Regions from separate parts of the Mus musculus genome. Here all the other regions are reported to be linked to region 2. The links are microRNA targets in miRTarBase. Many come from high-throughput screens and were not tested one by one. Region 2 holds a microRNA gene; each other region holds the end of a gene's coding sequence.

Region 1 (7,837 bases), not on the chromosome of region 2:
GAAAGGGGGAAGGGAGAGTCTTTATCAACAATGGGAAATTTTGTTTTCAGATAATTATTGGGTTAGTGATTATTCTATGAATCAATATATCTACACAACCTTCACTAAATTGTTTAGGAACTGGACTGAAAAAATACTCTCTAAAAATATGTAATTGAAGTAAATTGTCTTAATTTGGGAAAACAGGATCTATAATAGTGGTGTTAGAAGTGGGTCAGCAATCTAGGATGTGATGTAGAATAAAGTACAGCACAAAGAAAGCATCTCTATCCAGTCTCGGGTTTCCTTGTCCTTGGTTTTAACGACCTCTTTAATATAGTCCTCGTAAGCACATTTTTAGAATCACTCAATTGCATAAGAAAATTCATCCATTTTTACTTCGTCATAGAAATGTATACGGTGATGTTATTGAGAGTTTGATTTTATGACAGCGGCGCCACACTTCAGACAGCACTTACAAAGTTTTAATCCCATGTTGATTTTTTTTTCTACATGGACTTTAGCATACCATCAAATAAGCAAATTTTCTGTACACAATAAATAAAATCAAATGAAATAAGATCTGAGCCATGTTGTCTTGAGCCAGGGAAAATGATGACTTAATGACTAATGGGGACATTGTTCTGAGCTTTGGTATCATTAGTTACATCTTGCTATGGAAAGTAGATGCTCCTTGACTTTTTAACAACTGCTTCCTTATTTCACCATGGATATCTTTCTTCCCTCAGGGCCGATGCATAAACTTCTCCCGGGTTCCACATCAATAAGACGGGAGAACAAAGAATGAGAAGATAAGAAGACAGTGTGACAGTGTATCTTCATGATGCTGATTTCCAACAGAACCGACAGTCCGGTGCATCTCAGAAGTTCTTGGGACAACAGCCCATTTTCTCTCTGTCAGGAAATGTTTCCTCTGCCTTCTGCTTTCTGTGCACTAAACATTTTCCAACACTTGTTCTGCCATCGACATGAGAGGTGATGAAAGTCATCGGCGATAGCCCATGATTCACGACACTGAAAATCCCGAGGAATGTTAGTTTGCATGCTAGGGTTTATGCAAAGCTCGTTTTGACTATGTAAGAGGACAAAGCAGACACATCGATGATGTAATGATACCAAAGCTAGGACTGCAAATCCACCAGCCACAGAGGTTTGCAATGGAGACTGGTGATTCTGCCATGAATGTGTGGCCCCTGTGCTTTTGTTTGGCAAGATCTTTAGCTACAAGCAAAACATGAAGTTTCCTCCCAGGCTAAACAGATAATGGAGTCCACTGCCTTGTAGCTATGTCAGATAGCAAAGCCTTTCCAAGTCCTCCATTACTTTGTGCCTTACAGGAAATTTCTGACTAGAAAATCTTGTCACTGTTACACTGAAAGTGCACACGCATGACAAAATGTAGACGAGACGCCTCAAGGTACTGGATGCAAGCAGGATTTTTGCCCTTTAGTTTTCCAAGACACCTTTCTTTTATTATGCACTTGAGACAAGAGAATTAATAGAGCGTTAATTCAACAGGAAGACCGCCTCCAACCAAAGACCTGGAGCGCAGCATAAGGACTTGTGATTTGAGACGTTGTCCCCAGCCTGGTAGATCCCCCTTTCTCAGCATTTGGGATTTAGCAGTGCATAAAGCATTAATATCTGTAAAAACACCTAGATGTTTGTTTGGCTTTTAATTTAAGGAAGCTGCAACCACAAAGCTTCCGCTCAGGGTTTTTTCTTCCTTCAAGTCTCCAAGGGCTCTTCAGCGTCACAAGCCAGCAACTCTCTTTGCATGAAAATTTCAAAGTTTAATTAATATAATTAAAGGCAACAGCAAGCAGCAGCCTGTGAAGATTTTGCTCATCTTTTTTATGCCTTTTGACATTGAGTGACCTATCACTGTATGCATGTTACTTAGAAATTGAGGAGCACCACACCTTGGTTGTGGTTCAGCCTGGGAAAGAGACCTCCTTCCTTCTGTTTATAAATTAAAATCAGGAGGGGCGCCATCAGAAAGCATGGACAATATACATACTATAAATTTTTAGAAATATCACCATCGTGTCACGTCAACGATGCCAAATTATGTTAGTGTGAGCAGAAACCCGGTGGGGGAGGAAGGCGGCAGCAGCCGAAGGAAATAGCTCAGATAATCTAGTCACTTTCGATACTGTACTTCAGATGCGAAATGGATATTCGACTGGAAACCTGACAAAGCGCGCCTGCTTTGATGTGAACTGTTATAGACAATGACCAGTGGCCGGGTCAGTGGGATGTCTCTCTGCGAGCACAAAGGCTTATCAAATGACACTAAAAATAAGTTCAACAACCATCACTTTGGAAGGGAGAAGGCGAACATTTCATGTTTGGCGGGCATGTGAGTGCAGGAGATGGAAAGAGCCATTTAGAGCATCCTCATATAATTGCCCGCATTGTACTCTTCATGGAAATTTCAAAGGACGGCAGTGATATTTTTCATTGGTGTCCACGTTTGTGGCACTGCTCCAAGAAGCCTTATGCACACATACAAATATACAAATGCACACACCTACACTCTCTAGCTTTAATCTTTTTGCTCAACCTTATTTATATCACTGACTGGCTGGATCCAAAGTCACACCTCCACATATTAGTGAATAAAAAATTTTTACCTGTGTCTCTGTTATCAGTTTCTTTAAGTTCACATGGAGCTTACACTTTGTAGGGTTGGACACACAACTGCTCTGGTTAGTAACAAGATGGAATTCTATTCCATTGTAAAATATCCAACATGTTCACAGTTGATTCATGGTTGATGTTACGGGTATAATCTGTGTGTGCACATAGAAGGCTGGTAAGTACACCTAACTCTTCCTGTGATGGTCTTTGTAGACGTTTGTTCTGTGTCTGCCTCTAAAACAGGACCTATGGCCACTTCCCCAAAAGGCATTTCATTTCTGATGCAGGCACACACCCATTCGTGATATTTTAAGAGCATCAAAAATACTACAGAAGCTCTGGCTATGTTTCTTTGGTAACCACTTCAAATTTTCACAGAATCCTGTAGCATGTTTGCACCACGAGGGATGTAAATAAACCTCTGCCTTTAAATGGCAAAATAGCTTCCTTGAGATTTGTTGCACTGGCTGGAGGATGTGTCATAAAAATACAACAAAGAGCTGTAAATGAAGAGGGTGAGTCAGGAGTCTACACATAGACTGGGAAAGGATCATTCATAAGGTTCAAAGACAGATGGAATTCCATTGCCCTTAAAGTTATGAACCAGATTAATGTTATGCTTTAATCGCAGATCTTAGCAGAAATGAGAATTTGTTTTTAAAATTAATCTTCTTGGCAGAGGACATTGCGAATCTTTATGTGACACTTTTCATACATAGCAATAGCTCCCGTGTGATTGATCTGGACACGATGTCAGTCGAGATCTCCTCCTTTGTACAAACAAATGAGTCTTGTCCATCATCCATTTGTGTTACATAAGGTTGCAAAAGCAATTAAGTGGGAAATGACTCCTAACTTATGTGTCTCCTCTGCCTAGAAAGAAAGTTTTGAAGGCATCTATATATATTTCATAACAATGTCTGTTCTTTATGGATTTGATCCATAAATATTTATCTATCTGAAAACTTAGATACTTGGAATGTTTTCCGTAAAGCATTTGGTGCTCCAAGAAGAAACATTTGGTGCTAAGAGTTGCAGCTCTGATGCCTTCCCCCAAGTTAATTCTATTTTAAAAATTTATATTTCCTTCCCAATGAGATGCAGAGTAAAACTTAAGAGTCTCCATTGACTAGGGAGCAGCATCTGTCATCTATGGTTAATTACTATTTTGTTAAGAATATAAAAGGTTTAAAACCTTATATTTCAAGTTGTTGAGAAGTTTTTCTTTTATTTCCAATGAACTTTGTCCTAATCACTTAAAAAATCCTTATCAGATATAAGATATGAGTGTCTCTGTGAACTGAATTTCATTATCTGAATGTCTCTGACCTGTATTTACTGTTCAGAGGTAGACTAATTTCTTTAAGATTGAAGCACTATCTGTATTGAGGAGCAAGTTGATGGAGACATTTCTAGTTGGTGGTTTTACAGATATTATGTTTGGAAATTCTAAAGACAAAATATAATAAGGTTATAATACAAGTATTAGAAACCATTGTAATTTCTTTTTTATATTCTGGTTAACCTTTATTAGATTTTCCTTTCTATTATATTAACAAATTTATTAGAATTTAATTACTATGCTCGAAGTGTTGTATATATACACACAGGGGAAATGTGTGTTGCACACACACACACACACACACACACACACACACACACACTCTAAATGCTTAGACTAATTGGAGCATCTGTTGTATAGTTAAAGGAAGCAGTAGGCTCATGAAGCTAGGAAGTGCTGTCTGTAGTCAGTGTAGCTATAGTGAAGTCTCATTATATTAGTGTTGTCTAGTCAATTTCTATGGAATATTCTGAGAACATTTTAATTTTAGTATATTTCTATATTTACTAGAATTTTATTCAGTCAATTGGGTAAAAGAATGAATAAATTTATTGAAAACCCATAATGTAACAGGCTTCTTGCTGTTTTGTAAAATATATTTTTTGTACTCCTGCCAAAAGAATATTATAATGTGAAAGAACAAGGTATAGAACATACATCTCTATATACATGTTCATATATAAGTTGCTTTCCTCATTTATCAGGATGGGAAGCAGGAAGGGATGTTCTGTGTGGACACCTAGTGAGCAGGTGGCTGGCTGGCTTGAGAGGCCAACACTTCAGTCATACCAAAAGTTCCTCCCAGTTCTGATGTTTGCATGAAAATGATGAAATCAGAGATTTTAGTGTTTATTTCAAATTTGTCATGAGTGCCTTCTTCCTTGTAAAGTTTGATAGTATTAGCTCTGCAAACTGCCAGTTTAGTTACAGAAAAGACATTGAACTCTAACATATAAGTTGACAATTAGTCATAATGGTGTAATTTCTTAGTCAATGTTTTACAGAAGAATTTGTTAGAGCAACAGGTACTATAGTCATATATGACCAAAACCTCTCTTAAGATAAGCAAAACATTAGAAAAGGTATTTAGAGTTTGTTCTGGTCTTCCAGTCTCACTGGGTGTCTTAAATTTTCATATACAGAGGCAAAAGAAAATCCCTATTCTGAAGTAGTTATGAAATCATTTATATATTATAGAAATTTAAAATGTATACTTCCCCCAGTCAACACTAGACAAAAGGAAAATCAAAACAAACGAAAAGCCCACTTGATTAACAACAACTATGCCTGTGTTATGTTGTCCATAGCACATAGTCAACGAGAACTCTTTTGTTGAGTGATTTAGTGTTTAGCATCTGGAGTTTATTCACAGAATGAGCCTTGCACAGACTTACCCTGGTCTTAATGTAGATGACTACTGGAAGAATCCTATACCCCCCAAATCCTAAATTTTATCTCCTAATCGTTAAAAAGTTATTTATATCTCTGATAAGTTATCTTTGCAAGATTGCAAATGTTAGTCATAAATAGAGCAAATTTTAGACATGACTAGAATGTATATTTAAATATGTTCAACCTAAGTAGAAGTATTAGAAACTATTTCCCAGAGGGCAGACCATTAACAATAAACACATCTCTTTCATGAAGGCAAAGGCGGGGGTGGGGGTGGGGGTTGATGGGAAACAATAGATGTGAATGGAAGGGCTGAGCACATTCAAAGCCACAGTTGATAAAGGAAGCTGTTGCATCCTGTGCTCAATTAGGGACAAATCTAAATCTCTTGGCAAGCTCATGGATTCCACCATCTGATTTGTAAAAGCAACTGGAGAAAAACTCAAAATGGGAAACAAAACTGACCAGTTCTAGCAGATGACGCCTATAAATGGAATTTTGACTTGAATTTCTGATGTGAAACCAGACAATGACGATGATGACACTCAAGTTCTCTTCAAGTTATTTTACTTTTAAAAACATCTTTTTAATTCTAAAAGTTTCTGCTAATTAAACAGAGCAATGACAGACCTTCGTTTTCTTTAAATACTTTGTTTGTGTGAGGCTGTCACACAGAAGGAAGGATTATATTTTAAACAATATGCTCAAGTGTAAAAATCTTCAACAAATTCTTAATGTTTTTTTATAGGAGAAATTTTGAGGAGTTTTGTAATGAGCATCTTGAGCCTTCTCTAAGGAGAAAGATATTTCAGGAAATTGGAAAGAATTGTAAATAATTTAAAGAAGCTACTGGGGACTGCACCATGACCTACAGCGTACCTTTGAGGAGATTCAGTCACATATATCACAACACTAAATGCAAACTTAGTGCAGCATCATGGTGGCTTAATAACTCAGTGTACTGCCACTGCCCAGGAACTACTAACCAGATGCATTTCTAACACTAAACCAATCCTTTCAAAAGTTCTTATCAAATGACAGAGAAAAGCTGATTCCTCGGGCTTCCCGGAGACATACAGTGCATGTCTCAAGTTCCTCAAACAGGCCTTATGAACAGGCTGGGGGTCAATTTTCTTTAAAAAATATTTCCCATAACTTCAAAAATCAGTGTGATATATCTCACCTCAAGGTTATAATCACATATGTTCATAATTTCTTGCTTTGAGAAACTTTTAATACCAACGAAATTGAAGAGAGATAGTTTATTTCCCTTTCCCATGGCTATGATGAAGCTCTACATATTTAGTGTTCCAAACGTAACACAAATTTATTTTCTCCCTGATTTCTTTTCTTTGCCTTCTTCAGCTTCTATTGCCGCCTACAATCTTTAGCTTCATCTGCCTCCAACGCACCGCACACCAACCTTCAACAGTCTTCACAGCAGCAGTTGCCTTTGGTCTCCGGCTGCCATATAAAGACCATTGCGACTGTCCTGTGTTTATTCCCATAATTCAGCAGGAACATTGCCTGAAGGTTCCCTTTCTCCATATAGAGTAACAATCATTAGTTCAAGGGAGGAAGACACGAATGTTGCAAGGGTCTTTATTTAGCTCACGCAAACCTGTGAGTTCCCTTTTTTAAATAGCTACTTTTTTTTTAACCTATCACCATAAGAGACCTACAAGCTAGGCTCAGCTCTCCGTGTTAAATCCACCCCTGTGGAAATTCATTATCTTGATACGCCATGACTGGAGCCGGGAGAGACCCTCCATTTGCTCCATTCTTTTGTGCTGCGTGTTTTGTACTGTACTTAAGACTTCACACAATGAACTGAGCTAAGGGTTACACTGCTGGAAGATGTTTGCCAGATGAAAGATCGCCCAGGAGATGGAAGCATGTGGTCAGAGTTTTGTTTCCTCCAAAGCATTTGTGCAGAAGGCCATACGTTAACTAAGTTATTCCTGGAAAGCTTTCTGCTGTCATTCTGAAAAACATTTAAGAAGGTATTTAAATATCACCAGAGACTATGGGCAAAAATACACTGATATTCTAATGCTAACATCAGTAATAGACATATGGACTTCAACAGAACTTCCTCCCACCTGTTAACTGTTTTTCACCCATAATTAAGAATGTTCTCATAAGAACTTGTTTTAAAATTGAAGCAAATCTCACATATATATTAAAGATTGGTAAGCAGCAATTATAAAGATAGTCATAGGTGTGATAAAGTATAAAATGATAAAGATGAGTTAAAGTCTAGGTAGATTGAATTGGTAGAAAAATTATTAATTTTGATCCAGGAGGTAGGAGACATTTTTGTATGTTTCAGATTCTATATCAGTACTTACACACTCTTTTTAAAAAGTACATTTACATATTTAACAATATTATGAACTACTTAGGACATAAACCTTTATATGCTTTGTGAACCTAAGACTTGGCCTGTATCTATAGAGT
Region 2 (7,521 bases):
AGAAGTGACCAGACATCTCTTTGTGCTCTCTTTTCGTAAGTAAAGTTAAGCCCAAGGGGAAATACACAAACCCAGGGAGTGAGATGGCTTTTTAAGGATATAAGTCGTTGTAGAGTGATGGGAAGAAAAGAAATGGATGAAGGATAATCTAGAGATGAATTTGATTCCAGTGTATTCGTTAACAAAATTATCTAGTAAGACCTTCGTTTTTGATGATGTTATCTCGAATGAATTTTGTTTTTATGAGTAGTCAACTAAGGAAATGTTAAATTAAGAGGAATTGCAATCTCTGATGTGACATTTGTGTGGGACATAAAGTTAAATTGGGAGAAAAATACGTATCTTTAAAGTATAATTGTATCTTTACTAAACACGGCTTTTCTCTCTCCTCTTTTTAAAGGTGACCATCGATGGTTTTTTCCTCCACAATTCCGTGTCCATGTAAAAATGACTTGTAATATAGCCAAGAAAAGACGGAATTTTCATTCCAACTTAAGGAGTGGGGCTGTTATTATTAATGGCTTTATTTATCATGACCTAAGCAATGCATATGTTAGCACTGGATCATTATCTGTTATGTTAGGAATTTTGTATTTAGTTTAATTACATACTCTGTATATTTTATTAATTAATTAAAAGGACCCAGCATTCATTGTACTAGTTTCGAAAAACGGACATAATTTTAAATGAGAATACAGGAAATTTGTATACAGAATGTTTTTTGCTTTCAAAGGCACTGTAGTTTTGTTGTTTTAGTTATTAGGTTTGTGGTTAAGGACTAAAGGATGGTTTTTGTGCTTTCCTGAATGCTTTGTTTAAACAAGGAAATGAATGTAACTTGTTGCTCATGTGTGTCCATTTTGAAAAGCAACAGTGGGAGCTGAGGAGAGCGCACAGTGCCGGCCATTTCAAGACAAGATTTTCAGTGGCGTGGCTTAAGAAGGAGTGATTTGTATTTAACATCAAGTATTTAAGGATGTCATTTATTTAAAGTTCTTGATTTGTGATTTGATGTCGATGGTAACAAATGTCTTTATAAATAAGCTTGAGTAGCCAGCAATGTATGAGAACATCCAGGAATGTATGTTTCATCTAGAACATTCTCATGCTTTGTCCTTAAAAATAACTAATGACGAGGTGATTACTGTAAGAACGGAGGAAACTACTAGACAAGTCTATTCCATGCCTATAGTATTCAGTAAAACCAACTGGGACTACCCAGAGGGATTTTTTTTTGATTATCAAAAGTTCCTTGCACCAATTTCCAATAAATGATCAAAACCCGGGGACAATAAATGAGACTTATACAAGGTAGCAGGAAGTTTCACCAAGACTTTGGAGCTGGCAAGAGTGATCCAGATGTTACCAAATTGTCTCAGTTTATTTAATCCCACTTTTCATCTACTTTCTGAGGTAAGAGTCTCCTCCTCCCCACTATCCACCACACCCTGCTTTCCAACAGTACACCCTTTGCCTCACCAGCAGATCCTGGAAATCACAGAGACTTTCTTCCTTCGCAGGTACCCCAGAGCGGCCCCCACCCTCGTTGACTCCGAAGGGCTGCAGCAGCAATTCATGTTTTGGAGTATTGCCAAGGTTCAAAACATGAAGCGCTGCAACACCCCTTCGTGGGGAATGTAGAAGGTGGGGACCTGCTGAACAGACCTGTGTGGGTTCTACTAAAAGCCCTAAAGCAGGTAGGTGGGAGGGCAGGGGCTTAGTCTAGTGAGGGTCACTCTACACAGTCCAAGGGCCTGGGTGGGTGTGAATAGCAAGGTGGCAATTCACTTGAAGAAGGGACAAGGCATCCTGTACTCAGCCCATCCCACTCAGTCGTGCCCTAGCAGCGGGAACAGTACTGCAGTGAGTGTTTGGTGCCCTGGAGTATTGTTTCCACTGCCTGGGTAAGTCTGGGTCTTCCACATGGGCACACCCACCAGGTAAGTTTCGGTTAGCCTGCAGCATAGGCCCCATGGGAGGGAGACTCTAGAACAGCTCCCAACTAGAGTTGCTGATCTGTGACTCTGACTGGGTGTGACTGAAAGTGTGTTGTTAGCGCCTCACTTGCTGCTCAGGTAAAAGTGAATCAACTGGGAAAAAAAAAAAGCACTTCCTGGTCATCAAGTAGTATACCACCCACAAGAGCGAAACAAGAAAATTTGTCCTAAGTCCTCAACAACAAAATGGAGAAGGGGTCCTTCCAAAAGGAATAAGAAGGGTTCTGAAGGGCAGGAAGGATGACTTGAGAAAGTCCCCATTTCTCTTTGCAGTTTAGGAAAGATTAAGGGGTCCGTGGGAGTGTCCCTGGATCTCTTCGTGTCTTGCTGGTGCGGACCCCCAGGTGGTACAATGAGAGGCAATGGCCCAACAGGAAGCCTCAGTGAGGCTCTGCATTTCTAGTCCCCATTTATCCCCCTTTCCCAAAGTCATCACACAATTCTACATGGCAGTGGGGACATGGGGACACCCTTGTCACTGCCTAGAAGTCTCTGAGAAAATGGCTGCTTTGTGACATCCCAAACTCTGCTGTGATTAATCATGGCACCTCCGTTTCCCTGAGGAGCCCTTTGAGCCTGGAGTGAAAAAAAAAAACAGGTCAAGAGGCGCCTGGGAACTGGAGAAGAGTGTTAAACTTCTGGAGCAAGACTGTACTTTTCCTGTGAAAATCACTTTCCATAATCTGGAGTATAGGCATGTAAAGGACTGTTGGAAAACGGAGTGTGGGTGAAATCGTGCTGCTTTGTCTTATTAAAAAGAAATAAAATACATGTACACACACCCTTCTGGTCTGTATGAACTGCTTGTCATCTTCCCCAGGGACTGGGTGCAGGCCCCCATAAAAGGTACAGTTAGAGGAGGCCTTGTGAGCCTGGGAGTCTAGCTCTAGCCACCAAATGCCTTTCTCCCAGACTCCTTTGCGTTTGAACAAGGTGTGGGAGGTGGTTTGGGTCCCGTTGGGCCCCCAAGGACCCCCTGGCTCCCAGGAGCACTGAAACCCCTTGGAACTTAAGCCACGCCTTGCCCCCATCTCCTTGGCTTCTTGAAGCCACGCCCCCCAGCTCCTGCCTCACCCCTCCCCTTGGCAGGGCCCCTCTGGCCCGGAATCCCCAAGACAAATGGCTAACAGGTTCAGGCGCCCCGCGTTCCTATGCGCAGGGTTGGAGGAGGGGCACTTTGAGACTTCCTATTCTCCCTCACCAACTTCCCTTCTCCATCTCCACTGTTCAACAGGGCTTTGCCTTATGCCAGAGGAAGAGCGCCGGGGCTCACTGAAGGCCCCCACTCACCCAGAAGAATCTGGCCTGCGCCATCTGGCTGCTTCCAGTGGGTGCCTGCAAGATTCAAGTGAGATTCAGGTGGGTTGGGGACTTTAGAGCAGAGGAGCAAATGATCCAGGTTTAAGGCCACTGACTAAGAATCTAAGATGCCATTAGCCCAAGGTGCCCAAGGGCGCCAAAATTGAGCTCATCCACATAGCACCTGGCTGCGTGGTGCCCTTTTTTGATTTGAAATGCTCTTCGCACCTTTATTTGCCTAGTCGAAGTTATGATGTGCTTCGATTTTCTTCCAAGGGCAAAATGTGAATAAAGCAATATTTTAGCCAAACACTTCTATGTCAATTAAGAAGATGGCAATTCGTTCCAGATTATAAATTCCCTTTAACAACTCCCTAAGGTATTCTTTTAAATTGTTTTTCAAACATTGCTAAATGTGCATGATAATGTGTGGGAGACTTGTATAAAGTGATTCAATTTATGGTCGGCTGATTAATTGATCCTCCATTACCACATTCAAAGAGGCACCTCTCCATTGTTTTCTCCGTTTTTTTTCCCCCAACACATGTTATTTGTTAGTGAGGAAGCTGTGTGCACGTGGCATTGTAAAAGGTTACTAGACAGACATGGCTCTTAAAACTATGAAAAGCTTAGCCTGGCTCTAAATCTAAACTCTGACATTTCTGTAAGTTGTAGGACAAGATATTCAGGTTATTGTGATACACTAGAATTGAACATAATTTTGTAACAATTTTAATAACAGGAATACTTCTGAAGGCATCTTCTGCTAGCCATATTGGTTTGGTTTGGTTTGGTTTTCCAACAAGGGAACACTACATCAACAATCTTGGGGATGTGGACACAGAAGACTCCTGTTCCAAGAAAGTACAATCATCTTTCAAAAACTGTAATTTATATGCGTTTTACCACACTAGATATTGAAAACCACCCAACTAGGGGGGTACAGTATATAACCAGTCACTAGTGTAATATTGTATACCTTTTTAAAATGTTATTGGAAAGTGTTTTATGATCTGTAAGTCAAATAATCCGGCCCCACCGTTTTCATTTTTCCTGCTATTCCCCCAAATCTAGGCTCCTTTGTTCCAGTTGGCATGTAAACTTGTTTTTTCCACCAAATGAGTCAGTCCTGATAGAAGCGTCAATTGATTTGAACAGATGTGTGTCAATGTTACTTGGAAAAACTAGATGCCAATAACCAGGGCCACAGAAAAAGTCAGCAAATGTAATTGTGTAAAGCATTTATGCATGCACGCAGACAAGGAGAAAAGTTGAATCCTAAACAGGAAAACATTTGGATACACTCCAGTGCTGGGAGACCAAATAATTCTGTGTTGCTTTTGATGTCCAGTAACATGGGCAACTGTCCAATTAAACAAACACCCAAGAAGGACTCTGCAATGCCCATTATTTTACTGATTATTCTAAAGCACCATACCTGTCAATCCATTGAGGAGGAGGGAACAGCAAGGGAAACATGATGAATCTACACGACATAAATTAATTAATAGGCAGATTTCCTGAGAGACGGTGCAGATTAAAAAAAAAATACAAATAGGTTCAAAAAGTATGCTTCAGGAAGATCAATGAATATATATTGATAGAGATCAAAAGACTTGAGCTGTGGGCATTACCAAGTTAACATTAATTTCTAGAGATCTATTTTCCCGTTGTCCAGAAGCATTTCTCATGATGCCAGAAACTTATACGTTCATCTTTATGTAGAGTTATTGTATGCCTCTTAAAACGAAACACAGTATGTATACACCAATCATAGCAAATCTGTATCTCCGAGGCCCAGTTCAGCCTGCCTTATGCCCATCCATTGAGCTAGGATCTCCTGGCTCTGTCCTAATATTTCACTCATCTGTTTCCTGCACTGGGTCCACAATTGATATCCTCCTCAAGTTTAAAGGGGCTTAGAGCCTTGTGGGAGGAGCCTCTAACGATTTCCATTTCCTGTGGTCCCTCAGCCTTGGAGCACTCCCCTTTACTCTTGAGCTCTGTCTTCGGAGCAAGTGGTGAAAATTGAAAAGCGTGCCCCCCTCCCGCCCCCTCCGCCGCACTCCCCCCCTCCCGCTCCCCTCCCCAGCTCCAAGTCGGGGGCATTGTTGGGGGCTGGGAATACTGCTTGCTTTGCAGCCTGACTCCTTCCTTCGGGTCTTTTGCTACCCCTCCCCCACCTCCACTCTGCAGAGTGAAGGCAGAATGTTTGTGCCCTAGAAACCAAATCTTTACAATCCTCATCTCAGCACTTGCCTTCATTTCCTCTGTTCACTTACGGCCCCAACTGCTTTCATAGATTTGTTGTTTACAACTTTGAGAGATAAGTAAGGCAGACAAAGTTTCGAGAGACCTGAGGATTCTGAAGATGAAACCTGGGAAACTGCATCATGCAGACTTCATGCTGTGCCAGGTAACATTCCTGCCTGGCCATCAGAAGCTTACACCATAGTGATTAGGACAGAAAATGGAGCTGAACTAGTGTGTTTGGTTAGAAAAGGTCTAGTTGAAACTGTCTAGTCCTAAGAAGGACGAGTGAGAGTCTAACTGCTGGACACTTCCTAACTGAGGCTCAAGATTGACTTCATGATTAAGTAATGACTGTAAGTCACCTACCCATGCATGATTCAATGTGTACAAGCTTAAAAATTGTAAAGTGAATTCACTTTAAAGCTTTGATCCTTTCTATAGACTCAAGTAAATTAAGGGAGCAAATATGAACTAACCATAGAGATTAATTTAGTGGCATCCTCAAAAGAACGTTTTTAGTCATTGTGAATAATCATAAAAACTACCTAGAAACTTAGAAACATTCTTAAGATAACAAGCTTTTAAAAATCAAGGCCACAGAATTACACTAACTCTGGTGGCTGAAAGTAGAGTAGAAACTGGAAAGAAACTGCAAAACAAAGAGACTTTTTAAAAACAGAATTTGTAGTAGGTTGGTTAGCTGCTTATTTGTTTTGTTTTTTTTTCCCCATCTTCACAGTTTTGCTGTTTCTTTGTTTTGTTGTGCTTTGATTTGTGTCCCATTGTGAAATGCTACTCGCTAAAAGGTCTTTAAGGGTACTGGGAGATCCAGAAATTTGAGGTTACACATGCAGGGATCTCAGACGTCTCGGGGATCATCATGTCACGAGATACCACTGTGCCCTTGTGACAGATTGATAACTGAAAGGTCTGGGAGCCACTCCTCTTCCTAAGAATTGGTGGGGTGAGTATTACAGAGATGAGAGGTCAGGAGAGGACTGAGCCCTAGGCAAGGAGGAAAGGGGTTGCCATGGAGTGGGGGAGGGTATGGGTTGTGTTTTTATAGAATGAGAAGGGTTTTATTAATTTGCATTTCTATTCAGTCCACTGAAGCCTAGACAGGACATATGGTTTTATATATAGGCTAAAATATTAAAACTATGTTTTTCCTCAAACAAGAAAAACATTAGCTGTAAGCTTTAGAAAAACAGGTTACCTTAAAAATGTGGAGTCATATAAATAGCCATGAAGATAAATATACAAGCCACGGAAAGTCACGGAAAATGAAAAAACATCAGGATGTTTATTACTATTTATTTATTTATTTATTTATTTTTGAGGCAAGATCTTATGTTACCCAGACTCAAACTTGTGTAGCAGAGGCTCATGTTGAATTCCTTCCCCTCCTAATTCCCCCTCCCAAGGGCTGGCATTATAAGTGTATGCCATCATACCTGCTTGCAATTCTTTTTTTTTTTTTTTTTTTTGAGACTAGGCCTCACTAACTTGCTCATGCTGGCTTTAAATCACTCTCTAGGCCTGCCAGGAGGAATCTGCATCTGTGGCTCATTTGCCTCACCATCTATGTCACTGGGGTTACCACCTCCCTTCACTTCAGTCATTTTGAGGATAAAATGACTTATTAATAGTAAAGGGTTGCATAAATAAAATATGCTCTTCTAAGACAATGTGATAGGATGCTATCATTAAGATTGATATTTCTGAAAATAATTTTTGTGACATAAAGATGTGCCACAAACACTAATAAAAAGCGTTTAATGATAAACATGCAAAATATTTTCTTCTCCGTTTTAATTTTACATACATGGGATCAATATACAGATATAAGGCTAAGAGAACAGATCAAAATATTATAGTTATCCTGAGTTGTGCTTTAATGTTATTGAACAAATATGCTGGGGACTGATGCTGTGGTTGAATGATAGAGGAAGGAGAAAGGCAAACCAAGATG
Region 3 (7,837 bases), not on the chromosome of region 2:
CAGCCCTCTTGGGGACAAAGGTGAGGACAGAGGTGACAGCATGGCAACAAAAGTGGGTCCCAGCCTCCTCCACCCAGGCTTAGCCACTGGCAGTCAAGACCAGGGAGCCCTGCCCACTGACTAGATGACCTGCCATCAGTCTTAGGAAGGACTAAGTGAAACTGCGCTGTCTTCAAAGCCATCTGTTCGCAGGAAAAGCCTAGAGATGATCCCGTGTTCCATTGCCCCGCCCCACATCCAAGCACTTGACTTCTTAAAAGCAATCAGGGCTTATCAAAAGTGAGGAAGAGGGCCATGTTATCTCAGTAGTTTTGCTTGTCTGGTATAGGGAAAAGAACAATTGATCCTCATTGTTTACCATTGTTGGGGTGTGGGTCTAGAAAGCAGTGCCCTGACTTTACACATGATGCTATTGACAGTGAATAGAAACTGAGACTTGACTTTCCTTCAACAGAAGTAGTTTAGATAGATAGAATTGGAGCCCAGGAAGCCCAGTGTGGGTAGGTCTGCATAGATGCTGGTACTGAGGAGGTTTTGGGAAGACGCCATGATGCAGTATGTTGCTTTCTGTCTCTGCAGTATGCTACCACGGGCTGTTCCCTGACTCTACACCATACAGAGAAACCAGAGCATGAAGACATCTGTGAATACCGTCCTTATTCCTGTCCTTGTCCTGGTGCGTCCTGCAAGTGGCAGGGATCCCTGGAAGCTGTGATGTCCCATCTCATGCATGCCCACAAGAGTATCACTACCCTTCAGGGAGAGGACATAGTCTTTCTAGCTACAGACATTAACCTGCCAGGGGCTGTGGACTGGGTGATGATGCAGTCCTGTTTTGGCCACCACTTCATGCTGGTACTTGAAAAGCAAGAGAAGTACGAAGGCCACCAGCAGTTCTTTGCCATCGTCCTCCTCATTGGCACCCGAAAGCAAGCTGAGAACTTTGCCTACAGACTGGAGTTGAATGGGAACCGGAGGAGACTGACCTGGGAGGCCACACCTCGGTCCATTCATGATGGCGTGGCTGCAGCCATCATGAACAGTGACTGTCTTGTTTTTGACACAGCCATAGCACATCTCTTTGCAGATAATGGGAACCTTGGAATCAATGTCACGATATCTACATGCTGTCAGTGAGGCTCCAGGAGGCTTTCCTAACCCTGGGAAGTTATTTGGGCATAGCGCTCTATGTTTAATAAAGGTTTTTTAATAGATGTTTTATTCAGTACATCTTCCCGAGGCGAGACCCACAACTGTCCTATGTTTTATTTAAATGATAGCTTCCTGTCTGGCACTGATGAATCTAAGTTCACCGAACTGTGATAATCGGAGTTGGCCTGTTAGTAATTTGGAGGTGGTTCGGTGATCTCAAATCAACTCTATTCTATTTCCTTCCTGAACAGCTCTTGACAGATCGCTCAGGGCTGCCTCCCCCTGCCTCATCCTGAGCCAACAAAAGCACAGTGACTTTCCTGAGAGTCCCGTTATTTCTAGGAGGTAGCAGTTGCTTTAATACCTTTCAGGCTGGGTATTTACACAGAATCACCTGTAGTACTCATCTCCAACACAGAGCTAGAGAATCAACAGAGTTGAGCAACCTCCTCATCTCAGAGTTTGAGGATTACTGGCTTGAATTGTGGGCAAGGGTCCAGGATCTAAAGGTGCTTTAAGGCGTCCTCTGCTGACACTGTTGGTCTCTACTGTCCGTCCTCAGCCTCTGCACACACCACATGGAGACCAGAACTCTAAATCCATGGGGATGCAACCCCTGGGGTTGGCCTGCTTTCAGGCGCTCAGTGAGTTGAGAGTTCTCACAGTTAGTTGTTGCTCACCATAGTACGGATGACTTGTTTACATATGGCTTCCCTTGGAAGCCCTCCTTGACTGTAACTGATGTGAGAGACTAGATCAGTGCTTGGGAGAACTTGATAACCAGTGTCACATGCTTGCCATTTTAAAAGCATGTGTCAGTTGTGTGGGTTTAGTTTTTGTTGTTTTTGTTTTTATCTTTACATACGCGCACACACATACACACACACTTTAATTTTTTAATAAAATTTTTTCAATAAATGAATGTCATGCTTCATTTTCTGCTTGAATCGTATGTATCTATTGCACATCTACTGTGGACAGATGCAGAAGTCTCCACCACTACCTCTAGAGCTAGTACATCCAGCAAAGCCGCTGGTCCAAGGTTGGGGACAGCAGCCCATAGGTCTAAACCCAGTCAGTGTTATGCGTTGTCACTAGTGATGTGGGTCTCATCTCCAGGATTGTTTGCTGTCTGACTGCCAGCTGTGAGAAAACACACAACTCCCATTTTCCAAAATTACAAAGAGGAGGCATGGTTAGTGTTGGGGCCAGAAATGATGAGGCCAACCATGGTGCACGCTCTCTCCTTCCAAGCCCAGTGTCCCAAAACAATTCACATTAGCCCTGAACTTTGTTCCAGAATTCAGCGTCTCCTCAGTGAGGTGATTAAGCTAACAGAAGAGCAGTTGGGAGTGATGGCTCCGGAGCTGTCCATGTTTTCTAAGAGAGACACATGTTAAGCTTTAATCACAGAGTTCTGGCAGGTAAGGAAGTTGGCTGGTTTTATGCCAACTTGACACCCACCAAATTTGCCTGTGGTAATTTTATTAAGGTTGATGTGGGAGTATCCAGCTCGCTATGGACAGTTCCACCCCTGGGCTGGTGGTCCTGAGGGCTGAACACGCCAATAAGCAGAACTTCTCCATGGCCTCTTAGCCCCTCCTTGTCTTCAGGTTTCTGCCATGCTTCAATTCCTGCCTTGAAATCCATCAGTTATGGACTCTGATATGGAAGCATAAGAAAAATAAGCCCTTTACTCCTCAAGGTGCTTGTGTATATGGTGTTCTATCAAAGTAATAGAAACCTTAAGTAAAACCGTTGCTAAGGTAAATTATAGGCTATTCTTCAAATGAAGAGTAAAAAGATCTGTACAAAAGTAGATAATGATATATTTTGGAAGTGAAGAAAAACCGCTGTTGGCACTAAGTACATCACATCTCCCACTGGCAGAGGTAAGCCAGCTTCCAGGAGCAGGTAGGGGCCCATCTCCTCCCATGATACCCAGGCAGTGTGAGTATAAAAAAGCTGAGCCTGTCAGCAGTTGCTTCCTATATAACCCTTCATGTTACTACTGAAATCGGGACTCTGTGGCCAACAGTGCAGGAAAGAAAAAGCTATGAGCAAGGCCTGAAAGGAGGAGATGGAGAAACAGCATGTTAAATGCAAAGTGGGTGAGGAGGGGTAGCCACCATAGTGGCCAGCGACGTGGGTCCTGGAGTTCAGGCGTGCTAATTCCCCATGCCCCTCAGGATAGGATTTAATGAAGGTTAATAAACCTGTGGACAACTGCGCTCTTCCAGTTAGAAGGCCCCACAATCTGATGAGATCACCAACCATGACCTGTCTACTCGCTGGCGTTCCAGAAATTATATTTTCTAACAGAGAAAGAAGAAAAAAAAAAAAAAAAGGCTGGCTGAGAATCCACAGATTATAATAGGAATGCAAGAGGAAGTGAGAAAGATGTAAGTCAGAACTGGCTCTTAACAAACAGAATAACCAATAATTGTCAAGAAGTCAGCATGTGATCTATTTGCCATATTTTTAAAAAATGTAAGATTTCTTCTCCTTTGTCCTTTGCCGGTGATTAAAACATGGCTGATTGGGCAGTGGTGGATTCAGCCTGTGTTGTGTGGCGCTCTGATACATTTATGCAATGGTTCTCAAAAGGACAAGAGAAGAAAATATTCTGTCTTTTTTTTTTTAAATAAACGAAATCTGAGATCTGGAGCTCCCCACTGACACCATCATCATCATTGCTGGGGAGGATTTGGTCTGTGTCTCTGAAACATGGTTTTAGAAGCTAGGTGCAGCAGGAATGACAGAAAACTTGAGAGAGGTCCCTGAGGGCAACAGCCATCTTGGATTCTCAGATACAACCTCGGGTTCCAGCAGTTACATCCCTACTAAAAGCGGCCAGGGTTATATGAGTACCACACAACTCCCTTACGCATGCCCAGAATATCACTGGAGGGAATCATCTCTGTACTAATGCCATTAAGGTTCTTGGAACTTGCCATGGGGCCAGCACTGTGACCCTAAATCAGCCCCAAGGCTACAATTCCTAACTAGCAACATTAGAAGGACTGTTTTCTGAATGTTGTATCTAGTGCTAACTTCTGTGAGAGGACATTCAACTTGAGCTAAAGCAGACAGACCATGCAGGCAGCCTCTGCAGGAAGTGACTCTGGGATGCCAGGGATGTCTGTGACTGGTGGATCACATTTCAGCTGAGTCAGAGCTGCAGGTGCGACCTGGGCACAGAGACCAGCTTTGCTTTGTAGTCCTCCACTCATAGAGTCTGGCCTTGACCCCTGCTTGAACCATGAAGCCACCCATTGTCACAATCTTTAAAACAAACCACCTGCTACTCACTTGAGGCTTAAAATGTACTTTCAATGAATACTGTTCATTTGCCTTAAAGTCTCCAAATGACAAAAAGAACATGGAGTCTGTGGACACCAACGCCATCGCTGTTACCAATTTAAGAATGAATGAATGAATGAATGAATGAATGAATATAAATGTGCAGGGCTTCCTGCAATGTCAAAGATTAGAGCTTCCAAGTAAGGCTGAGTGAAGGCCCTGTGAGCCAGGGAAGGAGACAGTCAGAATACAAACAGACAACTGCAGAGAGAGAAATAGAGAAAGGGCTTCCAAAATTCAAAAAGGAAGTAAAGGATACCAGAAATGTGTAAGGGGTGGGGTGGGGGACCATGACACTGAGAAGGAAGTGAAACGGCTGTAATTCCCCTTGGGTCTGGGGTGGGGTGGGGAGTGGAAGTGGGCAGGAGCCACTTCCAAGAGCTAAGCCGGATGAAAGCTGGCCTGTGAGTACAACACTCCAGACAGGCCCACGCCCCCGTGCCCATGCCCCTAGTCATTCTAGAAGCCAATTGCAAGTTTTGGAAGGGCTGGTTCTCAACTGGTCAGGGAAAGAGATCTCATGCTGTGCGATGAGTGTGGGAGTCTTGAGAAAAGCTGTTCTTGAGAACCGAGCTACCCAGGGGGCCAAAGACTGGAACCTTGAAGTTGGAGAGCTTCAGTTTGTCCTGGGACAGCCCCTGACTGAGGCAGCTGGAGAAGGCAGGGGGCCAGACACTGACAACATGCAAGGTGCAAGCAGCCTGAGACTGCCTTACACTGGGAAGGGGTGGGGGAAAGCTGGCCATCTGGGAACAGATCTCAACTGAGAATAACCCTTGAACTTGAGGGCTTTGAACCTGAGGCCAGCTGGGAGTTCTGGATCTTGGGGATTGAATTAAAGTCACTAAGCTTTGGTGGCCAGTGCTTCTACCCCAGGAGCTGTCTCTCCAGCCCCTCTTTAAAAAAAAAAAAAAAAAGCAAAAAAAAACTTCATATTTTTAATCTCTTGCTCCTTTTTCTTCCCCTCCATACTACTTTCCACTCTCCTCCTTTCGCTTACAGGACCCTGCTTTGCTCTTGGCTCCATCCCGTCTCCTTCCCTTATCTTGTGCTCAAGATCTTCACACTGGCATCAACAGTGTTCAACTTCAAGGCACCTTGTGCCGCAGTCCGGTCACTTTCCATGGCGTGGTCGGGCTGTGAACTGTGTTAAATGCGCCTGTACAGCTTCTGTGGTTTCACGCCACTAGGTCAGTTTGTTTCCATCCTTGATGAGTGGTACTACTCGAGACTGAGCCTTCCAAAGTAGACTGGGAGGAGGCACATGCCTTTAATCCCAAGACTGAGGAGAAGAGGGCAGGCAGATCAAAGTAATCGGTCACTTTCTGATTGGATGTATGTCCTGTTCCACAAGCTCTGCCTGGAACCACTAACTAGGCCAACTAAGCCATGGCTACCTAAGTCGGCTATTCTCCTGAGTGGACATAGAAATGAATTTCCAACTAAGTTCTTGCTCTTAGTCCCATAGAGTAGGGCATCCTTCAGCCCCCGTCAGAAAAGCTGCTTTTGAAGTAGACGGCAATGAGTACAGAGGCCCACCATTGATCTGTATGCAGAGAATAAAAGACTGTGGATTGCTCAGCTCTAAATGGGGCATCTATAGTCACCTCCCCTCCAAGGCTCTGGGATCGTTGTGTTGGAGCAGGTGGGAAATTTTTTAAGAGCATGGGTGGTAGAGGTTTGCAGTGACTTCTAGGCATGGCAGGGCTGGTACACTCACAAACTCACGTCGGCTAGGACTCCATACTCAAGACCTGCACAAAATTAAAACTAGAAAGAAAGAAGAAAGGGAGGGAGGGAGGAAAGAAGGAAGGAAGGGAGGGAGGGGAGGGAGGGAGGGAGGGAGGGAGGGAGGGAGGGAGGGAGGGAGGGAGGGAGGGAGGGAGGGAGGAAGGGGCAATTCATGGGTGCTGGTGATTGAGAGCCTTTTGGGATGTGTTCCTGGAGATGCTGCTCGTACGCCAGTAGATGGTCCTACAACCATGCTCATTACAGGCGAGCACTAAGTAGACTTGGTGAGCTTAAAACAAAGTGCATGAAAGAAAGTATAAGAATCCAAATAGGAAAGAAAGAAGTCAAATTATCCCAACATATAGATGACTTAAAGCTACACTTAAAAGAGCTCAAATGTTATCCCCTTCCCTGGTTTCCCCTCCAGAAACCCCCTATCCCATCCTCCCTCCCCCTGCTTCTATGAGAATGCTCCTCCACCCATCCACCCAATCCTGCCTCCCTGCCCTGGTGTTCCCTTATACTCGGGCATTGAGCCTTCAGAGGGCCAAGGGTCTCTCCTCCCACTGATACCCAACAAGGCCATCCTCTACTACATATGCAGCTGGAGCCATGGGTCGCTCCATGTGTACTCCTTGGTTGGTGGTTTAGTCCTCCTCCTGGAAATTTTTAGATCTCATATACACTTGTAAGAAAGTAGCATACAGAATTGCAACAAAGTCAACATACAAAGATAAATAGTTCTGTGTACCAATAAGAACATGCCAAGAAAGAAATCCATGAAAAAAAATCCTATTCACAATAACTTTGAAAACAAGACTGGGAGAGAGGTCTCTGTGAGAAGCTGTGAAAGTGAAGCCTCATTTGCATAGAAGACTCCAAGATGTTGGAGATTCCAGAGCTATGGGGGTACCTGCCAAGGAAAGTTCCAGACAGTGTGTGGAACCCACCCAGGAGAGAGGAGTGTGGTGCAGGCAGCAAACCTGGAATGGAAACCTCCTTTGCCGTCAGACACAGAGATGTAGAATTCGGAGGCTGACCTGCTGGGCTTCAGTCTTGCTTTATCCCAGTGATTCCTCACTGTGCCCCCTTTCTTCTTTAATGTATCTTCCATACCATTGTGCGTTGGAAGTATGTCACTTACTTTTTTACTTTATAGGGGGTTACAAGTAGAGAGATTGTCTTGAGACTCTGATACATTTGGACTTTTAAATAGTGTTGAGGCTGTGAACGACTATGGAGACTTTTGAAGTTGGGCTGAATGCATTTTGCATTGTGATATGGCTATAAGCCTATGATGGCCAGGGCATAGAATGTGGTGTGCTGAATGAGAGTAGCTCCCAAAGGCTCATATGTTTGAATACTTAGTCTCCAGTCAAAGGAACTGTTTGAAAAGAATGAGGAGTTGTGGCCTTGTTAGAGGAAGTGTGTAACTGAAGTGTGTCAGTCTCTCTCTCTCTCTCTCTCTCTCTCTCTCTCTCAATCAGAATATAGTGCTCAGCTACTTCTCCAGCACCAAGCGTGCTTGCCTGTCACAATGATCTCCATCATAATGCTAATGGACTAACCCCTGAAGGTTTAAGCAAGCCAC

Evidence for each region. Region 2 holds the annotated microRNA mmu-miR-351-5p (UCCCUGAGGAGCCCUUUGAGCCUG, at 2,553-2,576, shown strand). A microRNA usually pairs through its seed, bases 2 to 8, with sites in the 3' UTR of a target mRNA and lowers its output. Matches are read on the target gene's strand: a 7mer-m8 pairs with bases 2 to 8, a 7mer-A1 pairs with bases 2 to 7 and ends in A, and an 8mer does both.
Region 1: miRTarBase lists Antxr2 as a target of mmu-miR-351-5p. Seed matches in the 3' UTR shown: 7mer-m8 at 1,710-1,716.
Region 3: miRTarBase lists Siah2 as a target of mmu-miR-351-5p. Seed matches in the 3' UTR shown: 7mer-m8 at 1,418-1,424.

Annotation. Positions count from the first base shown.
Region 1 is chr5:97,879,492-97,887,328 of GRCm38, reverse strand. Antxr2 (anthrax toxin receptor 2) reads left to right here. Exons shown (of 17, transcript NM_133738.2): 17 at 729-2,641. The coding sequence ends at 767. Among named protein-coding and RNA genes, the nearest start is that of Gm34097, 36 kb to the right of the region's middle.
Region 2 is chrX:53,048,370-53,055,890 of GRCm38, reverse strand. It overlaps Mir351 (microRNA 351), which reads left to right and starts at 2,538; the gene lies at 2,538-2,636. Mir542 (microRNA 542) reads left to right here and starts at 6,404; the gene lies at 6,404-6,488. It overlaps C430049B03Rik (RIKEN cDNA C430049B03 gene), which reads left to right. Exons shown (of 4, transcript NR_038185.1): 4 at 401-2,779. It overlaps Mir503 (microRNA 503), which reads left to right and starts at 1,837; the gene lies at 1,837-1,907. It also overlaps Mir322.
Region 3 is chr3:58,669,186-58,677,022 of GRCm38, reverse strand. Siah2 (siah E3 ubiquitin protein ligase 2) reads left to right here. Exons shown (of 2, transcript NM_009174.3): 2 at 580-2,074. The coding sequence ends at 1,137. Among named protein-coding and RNA genes, the nearest start is that of Siah2, 19 kb to the left of the region's middle.